Styela clava: one gene and its partner. The protein of the gene in region 1 purifies or fractionates together with the protein of each later gene. This does not show direct contact. Links are inferred from orthologs where the notes say so. Each region holds a gene or a part of one and is shown on either strand. Other genes may lie near its edges.

The links. The genes of interacting proteins can lie anywhere in the genome.
Region 2: the proteins of F-box/WD repeat-containing protein 2-like (region 1) and S-phase kinase-associated protein 2-like purify together in Homo sapiens (affinity purification with western blotting; 4 studies listed by BioGRID). This does not show direct contact. The link is inferred for Styela clava from reciprocal best matches to the Homo sapiens genes FBXW2 and SKP2.

The regions. Positions count from the first base shown.
Region 1 is NC_135258.1:9,388,315-9,398,533, reverse strand, and holds F-box/WD repeat-containing protein 2-like, read right to left. Parts: upstream 6,962-10,219; 5' UTR 6,961-6,961; coding exon 5,086-6,960; 3' UTR 5,027-5,085; downstream 1-5,026. Other genes in the region: dynein regulatory complex protein 12-like, read left to right, coding at 1,438-2,037; A-kinase anchor protein 14-like, read left to right, coding at 2,401-2,520, 3,002-3,121, 3,585-3,764, 4,378-4,430, 4,508-4,592. UniProt on the Homo sapiens protein: Substrate-recognition component of the SCF (SKP1-CUL1-F-box protein)-type E3 ubiquitin ligase complex.
Region 2 is NC_135260.1:16,937,745-16,948,842, forward strand, and holds S-phase kinase-associated protein 2-like, read right to left. Parts: upstream 5,848-11,098; 5' UTR 5,402-5,847; coding exon 5,059-5,401; intron 4,989-5,058; coding exon 4,886-4,988; intron 4,471-4,885; coding exon 4,258-4,470; intron 3,921-4,257; coding exon 3,750-3,920; intron 3,161-3,749; coding exon 3,007-3,160; intron 2,715-3,006; coding exon 2,476-2,714; intron 2,195-2,475; coding exon 1,990-2,194; 3' UTR 1,604-1,989; downstream 1-1,603. Other genes in the region: kynurenine formamidase-like, read left to right, coding at 8,907-8,979, 9,203-9,340, 9,540-9,643, 9,906-10,035, 10,211-10,439, 10,730-10,892. UniProt on the Homo sapiens protein: Substrate recognition component of a SCF (SKP1-CUL1-F-box protein) E3 ubiquitin-protein ligase complex which mediates the ubiquitination and subsequent proteasomal degradation of target proteins involved in cell cycle progression, signal transduction and transcription.

The DNA.
Region 1 (10,219 bases):
TAAATCAAAATACCATTGGTCGTTTTGTCTTCTGGAGCGTTCCAGTTTAGTAGTAGTGATGAAAAATAGTTATGAAACAAGTAAACTCGTTTGGAAAGTGCCAGGCGTATGTTAGTCGTTGGTGCCAGCAATGACAATAAATGTCATTGAAGCCAGGTCACGAAAACTGTCAAAGGGGTCAAGGGCCGGATTATTATTCTTGAAAATATCAAGTGTATCAGAACTCCATGACAACGCGACACGCTTCGTTCGGCTGAGAGTTTTATTTTGTGTTCTGCCGCTCGTACAAGGCTACCGGTATGTAGTAAGCGAACTAGTAACTATTTTAAGCTATGACTTGTTTCTATATGTATAAGAAATAATAATAACAACTGGAATGGAATTTTATATGTGTACGGTATTAATGCGTGACAGAGAGAAATGAACAGCTGTATTAAGGTATATTAGGAGGAGGAGGAGGATTTACATATTTATCCCGGAGGAGAGGAAAGCCGACAAAAAGAACTGACTGCTGCCAATACAAAAAAAAATGGAAAGCCTATGTTGACTCATCATGAAACCATATTTGGATTGAAAATGACTGAAATATTGCAAATGAATAATATTTTTGTAATGTGAAATACTTTGGTTACAATTAATCTCATATTGTTAGATAGTTAAGATAGATAGATAAGTTGTTAACGCTTTATAGGTACACAAAAGTGTGATTAGACCATCAAATATTTTTAGCAATAACTAATCTCACAGCCTGATTTTTTGTCATGATTTTACCATATATCATATACATCAGGGGTCGAGAACCTTTTTGGTCAAGAGAGCCATAAAAGGTACATATTTTCAATTGCATTTCCGTGCGAGCCATACAGCATTTCAGGCCTGAAATTTTACTCAAAAGTCAACAAATACAATGTCAATATACATTTAATGTGACTTCTGATGCTTCAACGGCTGCTCACATGCAGCCAAGTTGAAATCTACGATACACATCACCATCACCCTTCTTTCGTTTAGGCATCTCTGTACTAGTTTGATTTAAATATGACAAATACTGTAATTAGTACGTACAAACGGACGAAAAGCTTTTCTCTATAGCTCCGAAACTATAACACTTTGTGGCGTCACAAAATAGATTCCAGAATCCCCTAGTTTTGTCACAATGCTTGTCTGGTAATTCTCTCAAATAACATAGACATGCGCTGGGCGCACGTTTTCAAACGTCTTGGCAAATTTGGCTATAAATAGGTTTGAAAACTCGTTAACAATTGTAAGCTTAGCCTTACAATATTAGATTTTTCTGGGAGCCATATTTATGCCGCCATCAAAAGAGCCATATATGGCTCGCGAGCCATGGGTTCCCGACCCCTGATATACATTATGCTTTATTTTACTTCTTATTTATTCAAGCACTATCAAATTCTATTATAGTAAATAAATAAAATGCCACCAAAAAAGAAAAAGGGCAAGGGAAAGAAAGGAAAGAAGGGCAAAAAGAAGGATGTAGCAAAAGAAGAAGACAAATTTAAAAAGACTGTTAGAGAAATTGAAATTCTGAAAGAACATCTCGCTCATCGAAATGAAATTGCTCGGAGATCACAAGCCCAAGCATCAGATTGGAAGAATCGTCTTCATGAAATGGAGGAAAATCTTGAGGAGCAGAAATTGGAACAAAAAGATGTCAGTGCAGAGTTGACTCGACAATATAAAACGATGCACACGGATATGGACATTAGAATGCGAGAACTAAACACAGAAGTAGAACATCTAAGACAACAAGTAGCGAATGCAAGACAAGAGCTTGAAACAACGAAACGAGAAAAAGAAGAAATGGAACAGGAAAAAAACGAAACAATCAGAATATTGGAAAAAAGAATCGATGAAATGGAAATATCATACGAAGGAGTCCTTACGGCTTCGCTTGATTCACTTATTGGAAAAATTGATGAAGCTAAGGATAAATGGGATCAAGAAGGAATTAAAATACAGGAACAAACTAAAATTACTCTTCTAGAGTTCGGTCTGAACCCTCTGGATATTTGATAATAAATTCAGATAATTTGTTCTGTTGAAAGAATTGCTTACAAGGTCATACGGGAGAACATTTTAAATCCGCTTGCCTTCAATGATAGACAATAAAACTTATATGAATTCTAAAATCTGATCATTGGATTAGACTACCTGCTCATATTTGTTGATGATTATATTCAATAGCTTACTGGAGAACTAGGTATATTTTAATGTAATCCTGTAGTTTTCATAAATCATTTTCATCACTGTGTTGTGAATTGTGCGACTTTCATTTGTGTCTCACTATTTTTACCTTGTTATCATTAATTTCATAGTACCATATTGATAGGTTTAAAGGTTTTAGGGATACTACTGTATAGTTGTTGTGACTAAAAAATGCCTGTAAGATGGAGTGATGAAGATCCTGCTGAATTTGATGAGGAAGCATTCAAAATAGTCGACGACGTAATAGCAAAAGCTGTTCATGATGTTTCAGTTGAAATTAGACATAATTTGGTATGTATATTTTATATGATATGTCAAATCTGGCTTGGATAGGCCTTGAAGCTTCATATACCAACGGCGTTCCGGTTGTTGGACAGTTCATTGCGTTCCTGTTGTTAAAATAAAATTATGGTTCGAAAAGTCTGGTTTCCTCGGGAAACTTAGTTATTAATTGATGTTTTGTTGCATCATAATTATTTTTACATTTCAGCTGGCAAATAATTAGTGCACAGCAGTAATGTATAATGAATGTTTTGCCGACCTTTGACCCTTGTGAACATTTGTATTGAATTAGTATGAATATTCTTTCAATTTTAAAAAGTCATATTTCAGATAATTTCATTGTAGTTCTTCGGCTCTATCTTACGATAGACAAAATTACTGGTAGCGCCGTGTTGTAAATATATATTACATTTTCACGAATTTGGTGCGTTCCGGTTGTTACGATTTTTCTAGCTCATCACTGACCGTATATATATATATATATTTTCAGGCCAACCTTCCAATAATATTTGAAGATAAAGAAGACTTTGGAATTCCAAACATAGAATGGTCGTCTTGTGAAAACTTCACTCCAGAAAATGGAGTGGGTCAGATAGAGAAGTTCATCGCTGTATGTCTTGAATTTTGCTCTTTGTGCTAAATTTTATATATGTGTAATGTGTATGCAAATGTGTATTATATAGAGAACTTCACTAAACTATGCTCTCAAATGTTGAAGCCAATTATGTAGGTCCTCCTGAAGTATGCACACCAAGATGGCGCACAACGTGAACTCAGGTTGTGTACCAGGTTAGATTCAGGTTGTGAGACATCTTGGTGTGCATACTTTAGGAGTACCTATATGTACAATCTTTGACTGGTGATAAGTTAAGGCTGGATCTGTAATAGCTAACAAGTTACGGTAATTGTTTAATTTTATAGACTATAAATAGTTTTCAGGTTCTACAAGAGCAAGGAGTTCGGATATCCTCTTGCAGCATATTAACTTGTTATTCTAGTTCTTCGCCGATTACCTATATGAAACATTTTTCATAATACAATATATTCATATTAGATATATTTTACTATAACAGACTTGGAAGCGAGATTCAGCATGGTTATACTGTATCGATTATATGGGTGACACAGAATTTGATTATGATATTCGACATAAATATAGAGTAAGATGGAGCATACCAACTAGAAGAAAACCAATACCTAGAGCAACTGCCTGTGTCTACTTTACAATCAGTCTTTCGAAGATTAAACCTAAGGTAAACGCTTCAAAATTTTGTCAACAATTCTAAAGTCTAGTAGAATAAACTAAAGTGAGGCATTTGAAGGGTACTACTATATGTGCAAGTGCAAATGTTTTGTACTATCTCCATAAGCTAGCATAGACTTGGTCAGAACTATGACATTCATTTTGTCAAATGGTTTTAAAATAGTTAGTGAAATCTCAGTGCTAAGGTCCTCAGTTTGATTGCCTTCGAATGTTCCATTTTGAACTCTGATGATAAAAAGAACGATATAAAAAAACATTCAGGCGCAATCATATGGTATGAGAACACATTATTAAAACGAGAAAGCAAAAAGTAATACGAATGAATGGACATGGACCATGATAATTGTGTGCAATTTTCCAAGTAATTCTTCACTGTCAGATAATTTTCTTCAAGTAATCAAAATTGAAAATTGATTAATCTAGTATAGTTATATATTAAAGAGAAACACCGCATTGGCGAAACCGATGCTAAAAGAATACTTTATGAAAAAATTTTCATGATGTCATAAAGAATTAAGTATCTTGAAATATTGATTTCCCCTGAGCATTTGTATGTATATAGTGTCATTGTCAGCGACCAATAATAAACTTCATTTTTACAGACTTTGCCTGTTGAAGTATTTTACATATTCGAAGGAAACAGATTAGTCCATAAGTAAGTGATTTTGTAATGACTGTTGTTGTATTTATTTTTACACAAAATCTCTATCCTTACATCATATATATTTTCAGGCCAGGAAAATCAAGATTTCGTGAAATCTGGTTGAAAAATCTTGTTGAAAGCAAAATATTAATGATGGAAACTGTTACATTTTAGCTATTATCAACTACCATAACTATTTTTGTATATCAATAATATTTTATATTTTTCTAAACAACAAAGTGTACAAAAATCGGATGTCACTTCCAATAAAAAAAACACTTTACTTGGAGGCTACCTATCATTAATTGCCATGCCGCTGATGCACCTATATTATAGTTAGTCTCAATATGCAGTGGAAATATTTAGCCTAGGAATAAAGGAATATCGACAAATCTAAATTAGGGGTTTGGACTACTGCTGGGAATAATCCGCTTCTAACAATCTACTCGTACTCTTTTTCTGTGCTCAATCCATATATTACAATTATCCCCTTTTTCAGTAATCACCAATATTCCCAAAATTGTGCTGTTACTGTATTGAAAACTAAAATGGCAGTAGTTTTGTTTATCTGAATATCCAATGCTTTTTTTAATAAATAGAACATTACATATATTTTATATATTTATTTTAAATTCTCTCAGGCTATGATTATTTAACAACAATAATACTATGAACAATCAGACCATTGTAATAAATATATAGAATGGTCTGGTAACGCCGCTGCAAATACTAAACCGGAATGGTTCGCATCACTAAAACCATTCAACCACGATTGATCTCCACAAACATAATTTGAACCTCGTTTTGACCAACGACACATAGGTAAATTCCACCGCCCCAAAACGCCTGGAAGACTTTCCGTTCCAACATTCTGTTGGAGTTGAAAAGTGCCTCCATCGTCGGGAGTTATGTTATTAGATATTACAGTAGGAATATGACTGTCAGTCTTTGATTTTGGTAATTTAATACTGTTATAATTGATATCGTTAATTAATTCATCTTCAACTGTGCTACTACTATTAGGTATACCATGATGTCTTGCAGAATCGTCTGTATTTGGGGTTTCAGTAACTTCCAGGCTTAGTTTCGTCGAAAATTTTGGAAGTTTTAATGATTGTTCAGGTAATGAACTGCTGCAACAAGCCTTACAGGGCTCTGATTCGACTTCATAGTCGACCGTTTCCGGACTAGGACTTGGGTGACTAACTGAGGGATTATTTTCTAACACTAGTTTTTTACGGTTTAACAAATTAGGATGTTGCGATTCTGTGGTGCTATCAAGCACTCTAATAAACAAACAGTTTTCTCGAGTGTCTGCAGCAAAAAACATAGTTTTACCCGCTCCAAGTAGAAAAGATGGGTCGTTTTGATGAGGAGTTACTCGAGTTAGAGTATAGTCTTTAAAATCCCATTCCAATACTCCTCGCTCGGATGAGCACATAATCCGTGTGCCATCAAAAAGAAGTTGCGGATGAAGGAAGCAATGTTCATTGTTATCATCAGTATTAAGAGGAGTAGTAGGATAAGATGGCATTGAATTTGATAAAAGTTTATCACTACAATCAGTAGCTGATAATTCACATAAACTTTGACAGTTGACCTCCTCACTTATCAGCCATATTCTTATCTCAACCTTGTCCATAGATAAGATAACATAATCACCAGGCTTATGGTGAAGGGAATCAACTTCACTCTTTCTTAAAATGACTTTTGTTACCCATTCTCTATGTCCATGATACATGTTTATTTGTTCACCTGTTGAAAGTTGCCATAAACGAACTGTTTTATCTGCCGATCCAGATACAAGCAACTCTCTTTCATTGTCATAAGAGACGCTAAAAACAGCCCCAGTATGTCCTCTATAATTCCGAATCATGTCTCCCGAACTCCACTCCCAACATCCAATCGTGTTATCGAAAGAAGCAGTGTACACAAAATATTCATCAAATGCAAGATCTGCACATGTATGAGTCTGTATAATCTGTAAACATTCTCCGGTTACCACATCCCAAAGTCTCACGCTTCGGTCATCTGAACCAGACGCCATCAAATTATTTCCGTTGTATCGAAGAGTATATACACGAGCCGTATGTCCAAGTAAAGTTAATACCTTAAAAGCAGAACCACTTTTTAATTGCTGTAGTCTTATCAGAGCTCGCTGGTAAGTTTTTTTCCAATAACCTCCAGACATTATGGAATCATCCACTTTCCACCCGATAGTCTTGCATGCTTTTAACCATGCTGGCTGACACGCAGAAACAGCTTCATTCCAAGTTTTACTGACTAGGCAGCATCGTCCTAATGAAATGGGATCTAGCCAGCTCAGAAGATAAATACATATTTCTGTTGGAAGAAATCGAACAAAGTCCCGCTTCAAAAATATTTCCAGACGATCTGAAAGATATTTCAGTTCGGGTGCTTCACATGCATCTATAATCCCATCCAATGCTGTAATTTTATCTTCAGTTGACAATTCTTGAAAGTCTGCTACAACTTTGGACAACCAGTGATTCATCTTAGAAAATTTTATTTTTTCTGCCATATTTGCTAAAAAATAGTATCAGAAGTAAGATTAAATAAATAGCATATTGCCCAGGCTTTGATGACAACACAGGTCTAAAATATTAAAAATGGTTCTGGCATGGGCCAGACATATGTCGTAGCCTCACACAGTGTGTAACGAATGGGTTATATTGTTGCAAGGAATATTATTGCATAATCAAGTAATTTAAAGCATGTTGTTTGTTGTTAAGTATATGAGCCTAGACAATTGGAATTCAATGGCATTATCTGGAAGAAAATTTTTTGGTGCCAATAAGCATTACTCATTTTAGAATGAATAGAAGAATGTGATATTGCCATTGCAGCACGAAACCCCAAGAACGAATTAATTAGTCTTTCAATAAAATTATATACTGATTATAAAAAAAACATATATTTAATAAATATATCTATCAATAGAATAGATATAAAACTTGAAAAAAACAGTTATATGCATATTACGGTAAGTGGGATATGTACGAAATAATTCCTAAAATGTTCAAAGGACCAAAAAAATACTTGCTGTGGAAAGAATCATATCAATATAATCATATAATATCAATATATTAAAAACTTTGACTCCAAGCCCCTGAGGTCCATAAATGTCTAACTTATTTGAGGTTTGAGCAGGGATGGCCATTTCCGAATACATTCTAAAATCGAAAATAACATATTTTTTTTAGTTTTAGTCCATTAAAACCCAGTAAAATAGGAAATAAGCTTCAATAGAAATATCAGAATAAAGCCACAAACCAACAGTATATGTACACAAATTAATTGATAGTTTATAGCTATCAATGAAAATAATAGCAACTTGTGACACAGTCAGTTGTACACTTAGTACAAATGACCATAAGAAAAGATAGCCAAGGAGTTGTCTGACGCTTTCTATCAATGGTACCATGATTTTACGATAATAGTCAAGTCTATTGACAAAAACACTACTTGTATTCAGATAAGTGTGTATATTTTCTGAGAGTAATAAAATTCATTGGCAATACAGGCAACTGAAGCAAGGAACAACATTCGAATATCCATTATGTCTAGAGCAGGGCTTCCCAAACTAGGGGCCGCGGCCCTGGAAGGGGTCGCGAAGAGAACACCAATTTTACACAAAGTACTATATCTATTGCACTTTTTCAGACTCCTAATTTGAAATACAATCATTAAAAATAGTGTAAAACGATAAATTCACGATTCCGAGTGAATATACATCATCACACCGTGTTTTCCCGATAATAATTGTCATCAATTTTCTTTTGAACACTGGAGCTCATTTTAGGGGGATGTTGAGAATAACGAGATTAATATACGAAATATGAATACCGGAATATGATACAAATTTAATAGCACGTTTCCATTAAAAATAGCGGCTACATATAGGTTATCAACAATTTAAAAAGTAGATTTCTTTCAACTATAGGACTCAGTAGTTTTCGAACTTAATTGTATTGTGACGACCTCCAGAAATATGCTCAAGTTGCGACTTCCCGTGAAAAATACCGTACGTATTGATACATTTCAATATAATATCTTTTAATATAATATAATACCTTTTTTGCATTGAGTTTAATATAAACGAACAAACAAAATCTAACAACAGTCAGTGAAATCGAATTCAATGGGCCATGGTAGAAAAGCCTGCTTAATATAAATACGAAATCGCAAAGGAGATGTGGTGCGCAACGCTTTTTGAACCAAGTAGAAATAATCTTTATCTACAGAAAACCGAACTTTCAGAACATGAGAATCTCATCGAACATGAGTGAGTTTTGAGCATTTTGAAGAAAAACTAGGCAGAGTTGAGCAAGAAAGATTTGCACCATTACATTGAATAATTTGAGTAAAGATGTTTTTGTTATTGAGTAGCCCTATTAAAAGTTAAGAATTGGCTGTGTCAATAAAATATTAAAAAGCATATTTTGAACTTTTTAGCATTATTAGCGTGAACAAGGGCCGCGAAAAACTTTAATATATCAAAAGGGGCCGCGAGCTCAAAAGTTTGGGAAGCCCTGGTCTAGAGTATTCTACTACCTACCAGTATATTTGTATATTAATTTATGTGAACTATATTGTTATTATGTGTATCATATTGTTATGTCTGAAATTAGCAATAAGTTTTCAAGGATTTCACGATTTTCGAAATCGGAAATTCCCATTGCCTCCTGTAACAGCCACCGCGATTCCGCGCTCGTTCCTTTCAGCGTATAATGATCATCTTGTCACGTAAAATATTCAATCCATGACAACTACGAGATTCTGAAATATCTTTATATATTAATTTTATGAGTCAAACGTAACTCGCAGTTGCTTCTTCATACGTCTAAATAAAAACATTACTATTCGGTCCACGGCGATCTTATGGCATAGTCAGGTGGGGGTCAGGAATAACATACAGACATATGCAAAATTCGTTATGCTATGCCAACTGGAAGTAATTACAGAATCATGGTAGCCTACAGCTGTACAGTGATACTAAACTACTGAACTATACTAGACTGGCTGGTCAACACGAGTAGAACTCTCCTTAGAAATGGATATGGCCTAAATTGATCAGCAATAAACAAATACAGAAATATAGTACCCCAAGCATATTACCGAACTGAAAAAACATTACCCCGACTTTTACAGTTTTACTGCTGCCGCCAGTCGGCGGGCGTGAAGGTACTTGCTTACCGTACTGCCGTATGGAAGAGATATATTTTCGAAATTCGCATCACTTACCTAGGAATAAACTACTATCAATAACGTATCAAAACCGGTACCTGTAATATATTTCATTTTGACGAGCTCCACAATGTGGATTATTAAATAGTCAAAGAATATCGTATACTGGTATACATACAACAGAGCTGTGAAACGATAATAGAGAACATAGGGTAACGATGTTTTATGTCCGATCTTATCTGAGAAGTTGTGAGACGCTAGATGGCGCTATTGAATTGAAAAATTACAGTCAACCGTTTCCCTCTGTTTTTCGAAACTTACCGTATGCTGTGTTGTTTACTTTGCGGTGCCGTCCCTCGTCGATTTTGACGATTCGCTCGCGGATTATTGCCGTTGGTTGTATTTCATTGTTAGGCTCATTAAAGAATCGGATATGGAATAAATTATTACTAACGAAGGATGATCAAGTGAGCTATTGAAATAATTATTTTTTGTAGAATACTTAAGGCTGCCTGCAACGTGTTAGCCTAATTAAACTAAATTAATTTTGTGTTTGTTCGTTTATTGTTTTGTTTTATACCAGAGCGACCGAA
Region 2 (11,098 bases), on another chromosome or scaffold:
GCTTAAAAACATTTCTGCTGTTGCCATGGTTGGAGACCGGCGGACGCCGCCGAGTGGCTAAAGAGTTCAGCCCCTTATGTTTGTGCTTGCAAAGTTTTAGGAATATTTGAAGAAAGGTTTTCGAAATATAGATAATTTTCAATAAGGGGGGCCATCATCCCCCGCCCTACTATATATATGCGTTTTAGCTTTGTAAGGTGGAGGACATTTTTTTTCATTTCAGAACCATCAGTAGTTGGAATATACGAACAGAATCCAGACTTTGCCTAGCCAGACTTTGATGCTTTTGCTGACCCATCTCGTGAGTTTCAAAATAATACTATTCAGCTTCATTAGGTGCGATGTTCCAACATAAAACCCTATTTTTCCTAAATCTAATTCATTTAGGAGAGTAAGAAACTTGTGCAAAATGTGTAAACTCAAATTATACTGCAAACTACATATCTAAGTAAATATTGCAATTCATTTTTGGAAGAAACACGAGTACAAAATATCACAAACTAATTTCAACAGATTTAGGACATAATCGGTACTCCAACACAAACATGTTATATTCAGAAAATTCCGAAACAGGCCACGTGCACCACTTCACGAATGTCCATAGTTCAAACGCCATTTATTAGTTTTTTTTTCCTGCAATCCATGAAGATTATTCGGCATTTATTTTGCTGTGTACCAAAGCGAACTGGGTTAAGAATATGAATCCTTATTTCGATAGTTTTTCTTACCAATTGCATTCTGTATCTTAAGTTCTAAAATTATTTTATATATATATTTGCAGCAACTGGAGTGATTTATGTGACTATGACGATGGGAAGTGGATAACTGATAAAAGATCGAGCCGACGTATTACTAAGCTCTAATGGTCTGTTGTATATTTTTGTGCTCGGAAAACAAGAAAATGTTAAGTCTGTTTTATTGTTAATATTGTCGTTTATAAATTCTGTTGCATTGTCATAAATAAAACAGATTTTTATGTCGCATAGTAAAATTGTGGATCCATGTCGAAGACATCGAAAGCAATCATTCAAAATATACAATAACTCATCTATTAATACTACCAAGTGTTTAAATGTGTTCGTTTATGTGAAACTGTAACCGTGATAATGAAAGTATTTCCGCAGAATCAGTTGAATCTTATTAGTTTTTTTTCTTAAAAAATAATCATTATAAATTACCTTTTAATCAAATTATCGCTGCCTTTGACGCATCTGTTTATTATTGAAAAAAGATGGACATAAACTTTGTCAAGAATTAAAAGAAGTTTGAAATGATTCGTGTAAGTGGAATTGACAATAAACGTGACAGTTGCTACTTGGTTGATGCATAATTGAATATTTTTCAAATTTCTGCAGTCTGCACCCAAATTTTTTATTGCTATTATTTATATACGTTTAGTTGATTCGTATGAGTATATCTTCTCGTTTCCCGTTAAGTTCGACATGGATATGATTCCCCCAATACACGTCAATTGTCTCGTGTGATAACCCTGGCATTATATACAAAGATCATCTACTAATATGTTAACTACTGAATTACAGTACACTTAGAAAGCTTTCCTCAAATTGATAATTTTTTTTCTGAGATAAGCAATAGGTACTGCTTCTTTATATATTTAATCTATTTAAAGAATTTTTTGTTCTATATACAAAAAGAAACTTCGAAACTAAAAAACATACAATTTACTTTGACTCAGAGAAACAAGGTTTTTTAAAGCAACATTAAAATTTTGCAGAAAAACATAGGTCATCGCAAAGCAATTTCCGATAGATTGCAATCTAGAAATTTCAATGATGTGTAACATCTCAAATATTGACAGTGATACTTCAAAGTATGAAATCAACTGATATTATATTTTGTGCAATTGAGTGTACTCTTGATAACCACACATTGTGTCACTAACGCACCATTCTTCATCGACAATAAATTACCTGGAACCTGAATAAATGAGATTTATGGTATATCCAATATGTCCAGAAACAAGGCTCTTCATAGTTTCACATATTCTTCCCAAATAGACGAATTTGAAACCGACCCCTGAATTACCATGCTGGGTGTTGGTCTTGCAATAGCGCTGAAAGGTCTCATACTGACGTTGACATGAGGTAGTGCGTCAGACAATGCCCTCACCGATGCGTCATCCATTATACCGAAGACATCTAGGTATTGCAGATTCGGCATGTTCACAAATCGTCTGCAAATAAGTAAATTGAAGCGTACAATATGTTTATCAAATGTATCGTATACAAACGATTGTACAGTCGGTGACAACAACTTCAGAATATTAGAAATAGCATTCACTTCAATGAAGAGCTACCAGTTTCTATTTATCGTTAAATATTTGGATCGAAACTGATAGAAGTGATTAAGGTGTCTTTGTTTTGAATGTGAGTGCGTAATGGTAGATCATCTTTTCAAGCTGTTACATAAAAGAATCACCCTTTTCTCAAATGTATAATGTCAATAATTACTCACAATAAACTATCTGGAGCTACAGAATAACATCGACTCATATTAACTCCTTTTAACGTGTCTGATAACCCGTGAATTAGCATATCCACCGCTGTAGAAGTCAGGTGATTTGAATCGCTGACATCAAGATCTTGGAGTCGTCTGCATCTTGCTACTATTTCAGCTACGTGGCCGTCCTGCATTGTATCTCGGAAACCTCCAAGATTCAGGTGAGTAATTGTTGGAGGAAGTCTTGACACAAGCTGAACATAGAATATAGTTAATAGTGATGTACAGATAATAAGGGTCGCAGAAGCCCAATATTCCACTCCAATTTATGGAAATCAACTGCCACCTTCAGTACATATGACAGAACACTTCATAAATTTGATATCAAGATAAGAAAATATTGATGTATGCTATCGAATGATAGGGATGATAATTACTAACATAACTTTTCAAAATAAATTAATGATATCATATGCTTGAATGAATAAAGTAGTTTACGTCTTTTCGCATATATTTGGTTAAATAATTCGTCTTCATTGAATTTACCTCTTCTGGTGGGTATCGACAAATCGATGACCAAGAGAGGTTGAGTTCAGTGAGCCGATTGCATGCCAACAGTATTTCGATCACACCTGAAATAGTGACTTCTTTACATAGTGTGAGATTTAGACGAGTCAGGAATAAACAGTTCGATATGCATCTGTGATATAAACGGAGAAAACAGTAAATTTTTTTATTTTTTGCCACCGGAGGTGATTAAAATAACATCATATTTACACTTTTTGATCATATATATATATATATATATATATATATATATATATATATATAAAATATTTTGTAGTAAAAATCATCGCGTTTGTCAATGTGCAGAATTATGGGTACTCCCGAAGTATGTGTACCAGGTTAGGGTTAGGCCATCGTATTTTAGTTCTATTACGAGTTTGGGAACTGTCTGTGTTAGCCAAGTGAATATCTCCTTGTTCATAGGTTTCAGTCCCTTTACACAAATTGATGTAAAATAGGCGAACAAAATTAGTTATCTCCATATTGGTACAAATACTTCTGGAGTGCGGAATTTTGAAATTAAAATAATAAATACATCATAATGTAATAAGTTAATAAAACCTTGGATATCAAATGAAATAAAAAAATATATTTAAGATATCATTGATTTCGTTTAAAAGCTAAATTGTTTAGGCAGTGTGTTCATATGAACAATACACAAATGCCTTCGTCATAATCATTTAGTTAACTTCAGCAAAATGTCAATACTAGACGATACAAACCCGAGAACGTGATGATTACTGATCAAATTTTCCAAACTCAAATTCACCAGACTTTTACAACGTGTCAAGATGAGACAAAGTGTGGTCGGACTGATGTTTGCGTTTGTAAAATCGAGATGTTGAACTTCGTAGTAATACACACGAGAAAATGGATCACGCATTGGACTGGACCTGTGTATTAGAGGTACTCCCTATGTATGTGAACCGAGATGGCGGATACCAGAACGTACCAGGTTAGGGTGAGGTCATAATTTTATTCCAATTTTTCTTATTAATTCTATTGCGAGTTCGGGGACTAGCCAATTGACTTCCGCAGTAATTGTACCTGAAATTATGGCCTAACCCTAACCTTGTACACATTCTATGTTCCGGTGTCCGCCATCTTGGTTCACATACTTCGGGGTTACCCTTTTAAGCAAGCAAACTGATCTGTACATTTCAGATTTATAAGATGCAAAATATATTTATTTATTTATTAATCATTTATTAGTTTTTATCAATCAATTACCCTTCATCACGAACTGGCGTGTATACAGGAGTAGTGTTATTTCCATGGTAATAGGAGTTGTTTATCAGCCATGAGTTATTGCGACGATCGTTGGAGATGGTGGCAGAGTTAAGTGATATTGCAACAGCCTGATTTCTCAGAAGATTTTGCAGATCCAATATGTTCATCGTGCGCTTTCTTAGGTTCAACTTTTTCCACAGGCATTTGTCATTCCTAAAATATTTATGTCGCAACAAAACAAGATAAACTTTATCCCGTGATAAAAAGTACTAAAATATCGCATGTTTTGATATAGGCGGTATACGGAAAGCATTCTCATGAGAAGAACTTGAGACTGACTTTTTTTATTTAGAAGTTCAACAGTTTTCATTTTTTACTTGATTTCCGCCCAGTGGGTGCTGTTAAGAACGACGAGGTGCCTTATTGAAAATACTATATATATAAAATTATTCAAATTGTATAAAGAAAATAGAAAATCATATTTCATAAAATTGGTACTTTGTGCACAAAATCAAAATGTGCATACATAATAAACCAATTTCAAGCACAGTTGGGATGTTCATTACTTAACTTTTTTTCGTAGATGGTAATTTAACCATATCTGGTATAATACATTAAGATAACTCACGCAATATTATTCCATAATCTACATACTTGTAAGCATCTACCCAGAGACGAAATATTCAGCATTCTAAATATGTAGAGTACGATTTCATACGGAAGGGAGAGGACTGCAAAAACAATATGATTGCCTGGAAGTAAGTATGATAATATACGAGAAATTGATCAAATTTGACTCACTTGAAATATCTCTACTAGACGATGATTTTGAATATGGGGATTTCCGAAGACCACAAGTGAATGGTTTTTCGTTAGAAAAATAAGCAGTGGGGTTTCTGTTGAATCTCCAATTTCGTCGGGGTTTTTCCGGAGTTCGACATTTCAATATGACATCGTGTGTAGGACGCTTAGTTTTCGGCGTTCGTAACAGAAATTCTTCACTTCGTTCATTTGTGTCATCCAGCTCTTCATCATATGATATTTCACCAATGATTCCCAAATCATCATATAACAATTCTTTTTCCTTATCGGCCTCTAGGATGCACAAATTATTCGTGGAGTCGCTTATTTCGTCTACTTCCATTAGCCAGATATTAGATATGTTAGATTATGTTATGTTTTTAAAAAGTTCTAACCGAGGATCGTTGATAATGACATATTTTTACGTATGGACCAAACGGTTATTTGACACTGTGGAAACGTAAGCTGCTGTTACTCCCAGCACCCAGATACCCTTCAATTCTCCTAGTTCACAAATACAAACGCATTGTCCATATAAAAAATAAGAGTAAACTAGTTGTAGTAAATACTATAGGTAGGTTTTGAATCCTGGGTAGTCTACAACACCATGCTTTGACTCTTGCAACTCGAGAAATCAAAGAACAACGCAATCGATTGTCTGTGCACCAAAAGCGCGTGTGTAGCTACCACCACATCTAGTCTATATGAATGATAACTTCTTGCCAGCAAACTGGACTGTCTCCCCGAAAATAAGTTACCGGTATTATTTTTAAACCAATCAAAAAAGAAACACATCCTAACAATCAAGTTATCACTGTTGATATTTCATCTTTCTCATTTTCCTGGTTAGGATGAAAGCATATTGTAGGCTAGTTTAAGCTAGACTAACTAAAGCTAGAGTAGACTGAAATAGAAGCCTTGTCGCTCAGATCAGAGTCGTCAGTGATGTAACAATGGGTTATCAAATGTAGAACCGTTACCAGGTTATTAAACTGCTTGTCTGAGGAAGTCTGACTTTGGTCAAACCGTAAATATTTACCGGTAGTCAAACGTATATATTTACGGTCAAACGAAACGTGATATAAATATGTTCATTTGTATAAAAGTGCAGCAGGACTTTTGAATTGCATATTATATTTCTATTTATTCTTACTAGTACATCGTTGCATTATACACACATGGATCAATTACTATAAATATAAAGGAACAGAGATAGTCTCGCAACCAAACTCATAATTACGCCAGTTTACTAGTCGTGAAAATTATTTAGATTTGTTTGATTCTATAAAAACTTATAATATTGTTGGAATTAACCGTTTTCATAAAATACATTTAAGTTTGCAAGACTCAAATATTTGGATGTTAATCCAGCAGAAATAAACCGCAACTTAGTATCGGTTGGCGTGTATAAATCTCAACGACGTTTACCCAACGACTAAGTGTTTAGTCGACCACCGACTTATTGAACACGGCCTTGACCTATGGCTGTTTTCTTATTATGTTGGAGTTGTTGGTATTCTCTTTTTTTGTTGTTGTTATTTGTTGATGTGAAAAAATAGCGATTCTCTTTAAATACTGGACTAATTTTTTTAAATGGTTCAAGCTTGTTGTTGACGCTAGAAGTAGTATATATAACTACTTACTATATATAGTAATACTAATGGTAATATATACAATATATAGTAATATTACTATTTAAGTTTCTGTGGGTTTTATGGATTCGTTTTTCACTTTGAACTTTTTTCCATATTGTTGTCTCCTTATTGCTTGTCGACTGCGACCTTCATGTGCATATATTTTAGCATTGCTCTTTTGTTCCATCACAATGATAAATCAACGAAATAGGTATTTTTCTGTTAGACACTTTCGTATGTTTCGCGATATCTCACGAAAGCGAGGTTGAATCTGCTCCAAATTTTACATGTGCATTCATCATATCTCGGACCAGAAGCCTATTGAATTATGTCGTATAATTAGCGAGTTATTAATTAATTAGTGATGGAACACGCGGTGTCGCTATTGAATCAGAGCCAAGGATACACGCCGCTTGATCGATAAGTCGGCGGTCTCTGATCGCTATCTCGTTTTGAATTATTGTGGGGATCTTGAATCAGGGTAGATCCATATGCTCGTAGCGGCGCCCCCAGTGGTCGTTGTAGGATGCGAATTTGTTGCTTAGTTAGAGGATTAAATTATTAATAATAATACAAACCTTTCACTCTTACTTGACCTTTAATTTATTTATTCTCATGTATAACAATATCTATAATTTGATTTCCCCGGAATTATTTTTGAAGTTAGGTATAAGGGGGACGTCATCGTCAATTGTGACGTAATGCTCCACTTTGGAAATGTCAACTTTTTATATTTAGTAAATTGGGCTTTTAGCTATCTGACCCACCAAAATTCAGGTTCCCCTCAAGAAACAAGAACTCGATTTTTAAGCGCTTTTCAGATTTTGTCCATGGCCTAGGAACATTAATAGAAACATGTCCCGGGCAACAGAATAGTTTGGCACGCCTCTGCTCCTAACACTAACCTGATAGTAGCTTTTAGCGATCAAGATACTCTGTAATTCACATCAGTATATTTCTATTATTGGGCCGCAGTGGACATATCGTGTTAGTGTTGATATTAAATGAAGATTGATTATATTCGCAGGTACTAGACTAATCTGTTCATCTACGAGTCCAGCTTTGCTGCAATTCTTCGGTTATTAGAAGACCAATCTCGTAGTTGTATGCAGAATTTTGCATCGATCTTCCACGGCAGAAATGTGTGAGTTTATCGGCGTATGGAAGCTGACGTATTTTAAGTGAGAGCAAAAAAAAAAATTGAGGGTCAATATTTTACGTTGGCATGTTCGGCAGTAGTATTTGACATGTTTTTATATGTATGTTAAACATGGGTTTTCGTGTTGACCTCAATAAGCAATCTTATTCCTAGATTTATTTGCAAGGAAAGAACATGGCGATGTACCGTTGGTTTGCAAGAAATTCGCCCCGTAAGTGAAATGGTTATAGTTGACGATTGGCAAACATTGGGTATTTGAATATGCTAACTCTCTGAACACATGGGCCAGCAAACTTCATATTAGATTTTATGTACGATACGTTTGATATAAGGTTGCATGGTTAAGCTGTCAGGGTACAGAATTCAACTCAACTGAAAGAGTATGTTTAAAAAGAGTATTATAACATTTATTGTGGACAAAACTTAGCTCAAACATGTAATCCAGAACATGCGAAAATCAGGTCAAAGATTTGCAAATTCGATTAAACACCCTATCCCTATAATTGTATCCCTATTGCAAACATATAAATAGTTACGAACTGTTGCAAATTTGTCATATGTCAGAGTTTTCATCCGTCAACGTCCCATCAACGTTTGGTTTAATTAAAATTTTTGTTAGGCAATCCTTTTAAAATGAATGGTACTAATCTAAGTACATAGTTATATTTATTTATTTTATTTTTTCACTCAAGTCTCTTAAATTTTCTAATAGTAGAGCCAGAGCAGAATTTTGAGTTGAAAAAAACAAACAAACTAATTTTAAGAAGAGTCATAGGCGATATCGTCATGGGTTTGGGTTGATAAGAGATCAGGGCTCTTATTTTATCCAGACGCTGGAAAATATTTTGATCAAGAATGCGAATGTAGTACTGGGCATTATGGTGTATTATCAATTTTATTTTTATTAGAATCTCCGAAGCACCAAACAAGTGTAATTAATATTCTATCAGAGATTTTATATAAATGTTACAAATTTTTAGTTGTACTTCTAAAGATATTTTAGTGTTACAATAATTATATAAAAAATAGTTAGTTTCGAAACAATACCTGAAATAATGAATACCAAAGCCATAATAAGCATTTTACTTGTGATATACTCCGTCGAAGCTCCACCTCCGAGAAGACAAGGTAAATATATACAATCAATTAACGATATACAGGTAAAAGTATTGATTTTTTGGCAACATCCGTCAGTTATTATGCACTTGGGCGATTTCTGTTAAATATAACCGCTCTGCTAATCTGTGTGTTATTCTGTTAAATATATATGATTGCGTATGATATGTGCCAATATTTCACCTTAATTTAGATCTATGTTCTGGCTATTTTTGATTTTTGCTTTTTCATTCAGGGTGTCTTAAACCACTTCGTGGCATCAACTTGCGTGTTCGGGCAGATAATATGATTGACTTGACATACGATTATGACGAAAGAGCAATGCATTGGCCGGGAAACCCAGCTGGTTTTCAATTAAACGAGGTTATTAAAGGTATATGAACAACAATCAAAATTTTATATGTCCACAGCAAACCCTTTCATCGCATAAATTGCGTATTAAGTCCAAGAGAATGACACAAAGAAATTGTTTAATACAAAAATGATCTGGCGACAGCTCTAACTTGGATATTTGTAAATCATATATATGTTTAGTCGCATTTTTAGGTGCCTAACTTTGTGAATATTTTCAGGATTTATAGGCAGTTTTTATGTTACGTATAATATGATGACACAACCTGAACACATTGGAACACATGTAGATGCACCATCTCATTTTGCAGAAAAGGGTCTTACGGTGAGTTTTCAAATATAAAAATCATATAATAAAATATATTCATCATATGAAAACATCAATATCATATATATATATTTAAATCAGAAGCATAGACGACGTCTGAGGTGTTGTTCAGTAAAAATAAGGAAAAGATGTGAGTAGAAATGAACTCCAAATAACGATTGTAGGTTTAGAACGTCAAAATAAGAAGTTGTATTAAGGGGCCACGACGTGCAATTTACAAACAAATAAATAGTGAGCACCTGTTGTCATTTTTATTTAGATGGAACAAGTCGACTTGTTTAATCTTATCGGAAATGGAGTTCTGCTGAATATGAAAAACAAAGAAGGATTTGACAGCGACTCATTCATCACAGTGGATGATTTTCTTGAATGGGAACGAGAGAATAAGGGTAAATTAAACAGCGAAAATTGATGAAGCGCTATATACATTATATAACAATTTTTCATTTCAGGAAATTTCAAATTTTTATTCAGAATAAACACATAAATTAAAACTAAAAAAGTAAATTTGTCACGAAATTACTCAAATATAAAAAAAATATGTAATCTAAATTAATATTGCAGGTAGAATACGTTCGGGAAGTATAGTATTGTTGTACACCGGCCATGGTGACGTATACTACGATAGATCCAAGTACGTGGGAACGAACATTACTGGAGAAGAAGGCATTTCCCATTTCCGATACCCGGGTCTCCATCCAAGTGCTGCTGAATGGCTGGTAACCAAAAGATGCATTGCTGCTGTTGGGATCGATACCGCCAGTTTAGACCAGGCAAAGTCGACAACCTTTGGGTATTTACATAGGCCGCGTATGAATAATTTTTTAGAGTAAATTAAAACAATAATACCTATGATACAAAAATATCACAATTTCTTAAAATCAAAGTCATCATTTTTTATACAAAAAGTTTGGACCTAGACAATTCTTATTCGCACTGGCTTTAGCATAAAATTTACAAAAATGAAGAAGAATATAATTTACACTTTCTTCAAAAAGAAACAATAAAACTAAATCTAACTCGCCAACGGGCCTTTGAACTTCAATTGCATTTGTGAGCTTGCTATATATATATTTTTTACAGAGCACATACAACATTGAGCGCACACAATGTACCCATATTTGAGAATATTGCAAATCTTGATAAGCTTGCAACGTCAAGAAGAAAATTCAACATTATTGCACTGCCACAGAAGATAGCTGGTGGGAGTGGAGCTCCAGTACGAGTAGTTGCCGTGATGAACTAATCTAGTCCAGATCATATTGAGTTTCATTAAAACCGATAATTTTATGTTTTATGTTTCAAGTGTTAATTATATATAAATTTACATCAAATGAAATATATATAGTCCACACAGAAACATTTTCTAATTTTTATTTCGTATAATGATTTATTGAATTATCGGACTCCTCTATAGTATTAGCGGATTATATTAGAGACAACGACATTGGT